Drosophila melanogaster: one gene and its partner. The protein of the gene in region 1 interacts with the protein of each later gene in a pairwise test. Each region holds a gene or a part of one and is shown on either strand. Other genes may lie near its edges. The genes, in order: CG16978 and Lcp65Ag3.

Region 1 (2,810 bases):
AAATTTAAACGATTAGATGTCATTTTTGGTCATAATTAAAATCGAGTTATTTTTACAACTTCAGTATTATCAATGATATTGATCATTGAAGCTTCGAAAAGGGTATTTAGACATTGGCTGAAAAATATTTATTTTCCTCCTCTTTTTTTTGATTGACTTTGGTTTTTATGTTATTTGGTCGCGTTGCGTTGAAGTTGGTTTTGGCTTTGGACTCCGGTGAAGCCAGGGGATTTGGGGCTAGGGCTGGGCCGTCGTTTGGGTACGCTTTGATGGCTTCTAGGTGAAGGTCATTGTGTGACTGAAATGTTAATTTGACTGACTGTCGTACTTTTATGCCGGAGTGCCTGGGCTATTTCAGTTGTATCTTTTTAATGGCACTTGCTAAGGTTCTATACACCTAGAAGTGGGTATTCATGTCGGCTTAAAAACCACTAAACAAAACTCAAAACCAACTTTGATTTGTTGCGCCGCTGGTATGCGGCGATTTTTAAATGACTGACATTTGCTAGCAAGTCGACATAATATACAAAAGCATCAGAAAAAGTTTGAAATTTTTTAAAATATACATTAATTATAGAATTGAAGTTGAGGATATTAAAATAATTAAAAACATATTTGTGGTTATTATTTCAGTTGCCAGCAGAGTTTTTATATTATATAAAGAATTTTCTGAAACGTTTTAGAAATGACTAAAAACGATCCGTGTAACAGCTTACTTTGATTTCAATGGCGCAGTCTTAGACTCCAATGATGGCGATGCAAATGAGCGACATATTTGCAGACAAGTCCACCAGCAATTCGGTGAATGGGCGGGCGTCTGCTTCCCCGGAGGATAATGAGCTGCAGCCCCCGTGAATCGAGTCTGGTGGCCCATCTAATGGTGTTGTTCGCATGGTGGTTAGATGGTTGAATGCTGCAGCTACAGCAGCAACGATTCAGCACCGTTTTGCTGATGCGGCACACTCCAATGCCATAAAAGGGCATTAGCCTCGTGAGTAGATTGCATGTTTTTACCACAGGTTTTCGTGGATGGGCTCCCGTCTTTTGGGGTGGCAAAGTGAGGTTGTACTGGCAGCTGAGTGCGCGCGCTTTGGAAAATTGAATAAAGTGCCGGAGGAGCCAACGAAGGATTGAGGCAACGAAGCGGAGTAAAGTGCTCGATGCTGGCAGCCAAGTCATTTAAGGGTTGCCGGCAGCACTCACATCGGCCTACAAGGAAAGATGAAATACAGTCGCTTTGCTAAGTTTATAATCCCTTATTTAGAGTACATTTTCTGACTACCCAGCTAACTAACACAACTCTAGTAACTGACAGATGATTGGCATGGCCGAGAATTTTCTCAACAGACATAGCAATTATTTGGAATTAATCATAGACTTATTTGCATGACTGTTGATCCGCAAGTGGCAACGTGTCGTATGCGCAATGCTTGCTCTTGCTGGGTCTGCGATGATTCAGAGGGGACTCTAGTACCGCCCAACGCATAAATATGAATGAGGAAATCGAAGCAGCTTGCCACTTGGGCTTAGCCCAGACTGGATTTTCCAGAATTCCATTGAACTTATTACTGACCGACACGATCCATATAAAAACGAAAGAAATTGCATCTGGCTATGCAGTTGCCGGCGGTGCATTGATCAGCATGATGAGCCGCATCATATCATTGCTTCTCCTATTCGGAATCATTTGTGCTGCTCTAATTGCCGGCCATCCGCACGACCTTATTGAAGATCCGGAAGGTACCAATGATGCTTTGGAGGAATCTGGCAGTGGATACAACAGTGCCGAAGAGTTCATGAATGCAATGGACGAGCTGATCAGACGCTGGCAGGAGAACGATGCAGCTCATGAGAACTCAACTGACTATCCAAGTCTTGATGACGATGAGACGACTTTGGATTTTATGGATATTACCACCGAACCGGCTACTTAATATGGAATTATTTAGTAGTGCTGTAATGCTAAGTCATGCTATCCTATTGTCTGTAAATAATCTAGTTCTTCAATAATAATTATTAAGGGAAATAAAAGAAAGTTTTTAGAAATTTTAAAATGAAATCAATCAAGAGAGAATCAAGAGATCTTCATTTTTTGATAATGAATGTTGCCTACTCCGCAATTTCGATTTTAAGTACGCATTAAATACTAGTCATAGATTGAATTTAATAGCTCGTTTAGTATATCAATTAAGCTTGTGGTAAGCTGTGTTGCTGTTAAGCTGGAATTTCCCGCACTCACCTCTGTCTAAAAGTATACATATCACCTTTAAACCAACCACTTAGAACTGCTGATAACCCAGGGCAAGGCTATAAAAGCCCAGCTCAAGAGCCGACTGACATTCAGTCAACTGTAGCCAGAGCTAATCGAAAGAAAAATGCAATCCATTCTCCGACTGCTGGTGCTGTTTGGATTAATCTATACCGCGATCGGTGCATCGGGTATATTTCAGAATATAAACCTCGGTGGCGAAGGAGGAAGAACACGATCTTCAGGTGGCAACTTGGACTGGAGCGATAGTGTTCACAGTTCTGATGACGATAGGACTCTGAAGCTACTGGAATCGTTGGATAACAGTGGCAATGATAGAAATAATTGGGGCAACGATGCGGTGAGGAATTCTGGATTCGATACCGATAGATCCGCAGGAGACTCAAAGGAAGACGCTCGCGGATTCCAGTTTATACACATAGGATAAATGTTACGATGTTAAAATACTCAATTTAAATAAAAGAATTTTTAAAAGATTAAGAAATAAGCATTATAAAATGCTTTAGATTTTATTACTTAACAAACGTATTTATTATTTTAT
Region 2 (3,231 bases), on another chromosome or scaffold:
AATTATTTTATTTTTCAGAAGAAGTCGAAATTAAGTTTTGAATACAATTAGCTTTTGATTAACATATGGGGAAGGTCGTAGTCGAAAAAGAACCGACTGATTATAGATATTCGAAGAATAGAAACTGGTCACAGCGTGTATACGTGACCGCTGCACGATTAAATGTTTGTAAAATACTCTGATATTTGATATAGAATACTCTGATATGTAGAATATTCCATGCTTGTTGGATTGCTGATTGATATTTTCTATTAATAATTAATGTATATACCAATAGTAGTGTACACAAAGCATTTGCTGAGGCTTTACTTATTCAAACATTAGATGATAATATGAGAAATGACAATGGCAAAATCACAATGCACAATAATAAAAAGTTCGAATACAGAACTTTATGCATCTCGACTAGAAGACATCGTTTAAACCTGAGTTTATATGTATATAGCAAATGGTGATCGTGTACTGTTTTTTATACAAATTTTCACCGTTCTATCTGTTTGTTTCAAACAAACATGTTCACGATTAGCTTAATTAACCAATAAGATTTGAGAATTCAAAGGTGATGGCAAGGTAAGGCGTCATTCTGTCTATCAATTGACTGTCGACAAGGTAATTGCATACATTACCATCTGTTGGATATACCTGCATGCACGATTAGTGCAGGGTACTTAGAGTGTTAATCTGTAATTAAAATGTGTTTTATTGAATGTTTGCATTATAGCTGATTTCTTTATTTTTAATTTGTTTTATTATTTTGCATTTTTCGCCGATGAGGACATAATCCAGAGATTTCGTATAAAAGGGCATCAGATGATCGCATCGCAGCTCAGTAAAGTGCAGCTAGCTGTGACGGAGACTCTGAAAAACTAATTCTTTCCGCAATGCAATCGAATTTCATGTGGCTGGTAGCCTTCCTGGCAATTGGTATCTGTTTGGCCTTTCCCGCTGGTGAGGATGCCCAGGCGGAGACCATCAAACTGGAGAGCGAAAACACGGGCGATAAATATTCCTTTGCGTAGGTATTGCCCAGAAATGATTTGGACATAATGCATTTAATTGTAAAATTTTTTAACCTTAAACTGAGATACTATTACTATTTTGCGTAGAAACGGCTTGACTATTGAAACTGATGTATATAAATATGTACACATATATAAACTTTATTTAGTTGCACATGTCTCCCTCACTGCGTTGCAAACTTCTGACTGATATCAGAGGTATAAGCCTCTGCAAGGGCAAAATTAAAGAGGGTAGCTTTGAAATGCTTAGTTGTAACAGGTGTTTAATTATTCGATGTTCCTATATACAATTTCAATCAATAATTAATTTATTAAAAACAATTAACATCGAATTCCAGCTATGAGACGAGCAACGGAATCTCACGCACTGAGACCGGTGAGGTGAAACCTGGAGCCGGCGAAGAGGATGGTTCCTTGTCTGTCCAGGGATCGACCAGCTGGTCAGCTCCAGATGGCAAAAAATACGAGATTAGTTTCACGGCCGACGAAACTGGCTACCATCCCAAGTTCAGGCTAGTAGCCTAGGAGATACCTGGATGTATAATGATTCCGGATGCGAATAAATAAGTTGACTTTATTTATCCAATGTAAAAGATTCGTAGAATTAGAAAAGTAAATAGAAAAAATGTATATATTTGAGGAAGCTCCCGAGTTTTATTGACGTCACTAAGACTGGCTGGATTATTATAAATATAATAAAGCTCAATGAATTGTTAAAAATTTGAATAATGAAATATTTATGAACGCGATTCTTTTTGGACTATAGTGTTATTAAAATTTTATATTAGGCCTTTTAATGCTCCTACTTCAAACGAAAATGAAATCCAAACCAGACATTTCACATTAACATTGATTTTGCTCATTATGTCTTGTACACGTTTGACTAGTTCGGCCGCGCTTTGAATAATCGCCAAGAGGGTGCCATCTATAAAAGGGTTTACGCGGCCGTCCATAGTTACCATTCGACTTGAACTGTTCGATAGCCGCAGATCTAAGCACCAAACAACAATCACCATGAAATTCCTGATTGTCTTCGTCGCCCTCTTCGCCGTGGCTCTGGCTGCTCCTGCCGCTGAGGAACCCACAATCGTGCGCTCTGAATCCGACGTTGGACCCGAAAGCTTCAAATACGAGTAAGTTGCCTATGAGAAATGACCCAAAAGGATACCTAGCTGACACTGACTTCCTTCTTAGCTGGGAAACCTCCGATGGACAGGCTGCTCAAGCTGTAGGTCAGCTGAACGACATTGGAACTGAGAACGAGGCTATCTCTGTGAGTGGATCCTACCGCTTCATTGCTGATGATGGCCAGACCTACCAAGTCAACTACATCGCCGATAAGAACGGATTCCAGCCCGAGGGTGCTCATCTGCCCGTTGCCCCCGTGGCATAAGTGAAGTTGCTTTCACTGTAAGCAGCTTTAAACCCACCAATTCTGCAACACTCTTTGTTATCTTCCCCAACACTTACCTACTTTCGGTTTTCCCTTTTAAAAGGGAAAGAATCCTAAGTTACAGAACGCAGTTTGTTGAATATTAAAAAATGTAGATTTTATATGAATTCGTTTTATTTTAAATGTGCTTTTCGCTCAAAAGGTCGGAAACGTCGTTTTTTTTTAAAGGCGATTATTTGAAAATATTTTGTTAAGTTGTTCAGATAAATAGAACTAGATTCTTATGGCAAACAACGGACCTAATTAAAGGTTTTTTTCCATTAAGCAATTCTTAAGAAGTGTAAATAAGTATTTTGAAAGAATAGGTATTTTTTTCATTTAGAAAATTATTAATTAAAAAAAAAAACATTTTAGAACTGAAAATACAATTTTTTATTATGTATTTTATTACTCTAACCGCTAACATACCCAGTCGTCTTCAGGCTTTATTAGGTGTTCTTATTACATGAACATTATTAAAAAAGAAAAAGTTTTTGGGCCCTTATAATAATATTAAAAAAGAATATATTTTTCCTATTTTTAACTTATCTTAACAAAATCAAACGAAAATTTCCAGTATGCCTTAATAAAATAAAAACAAAAAGTTCTCCCAAATGCATAGTCGGCTTTGCGGATTTAAAGTGCATAGTTTAATCATAAAAGACTCTTAAGCTTACTTTCAGGCTATAGCTATTCAGATTGCATTGAAATCGAATGACTTAGGCAACGAACTTTTTAAATCCCTTGCATACTTTTGGGGGCTAAATGCTAATTACCAGT

What was found.
Region 2: the proteins of CG16978 (region 1) and Lcp65Ag3 interact in a two-hybrid assay, tested with the Drosophila melanogaster proteins (one large-scale study listed by BioGRID).

What each region holds. Positions count from the first base shown.
Region 1 is NT_033779.5:13,142,431-13,145,240, reverse strand, and holds CG16978 (uncharacterized protein), read left to right. Parts: upstream 1-1,618; 5' UTR 1,619-1,643; coding exon 1,644-1,934; 3' UTR 1,935-2,027; downstream 2,028-2,810. Other genes in the region: CG9928 (uncharacterized protein), read left to right, coding at 2,376-2,696.
Region 2 is NT_037436.4:6,129,732-6,132,962, reverse strand, and holds Lcp65Ag3 (larval cuticle protein), read left to right. Parts: upstream 1-1,973; 5' UTR 1,974-2,033; coding exon 2,034-2,152; exon of another isoform or gene 2,153-2,213; coding exon 2,214-2,412; 3' UTR 2,413-2,577; downstream 2,578-3,231. Other genes in the region: Cpr65Au (cuticular protein 65Au), read left to right, coding at 882-1,015, 1,358-1,544.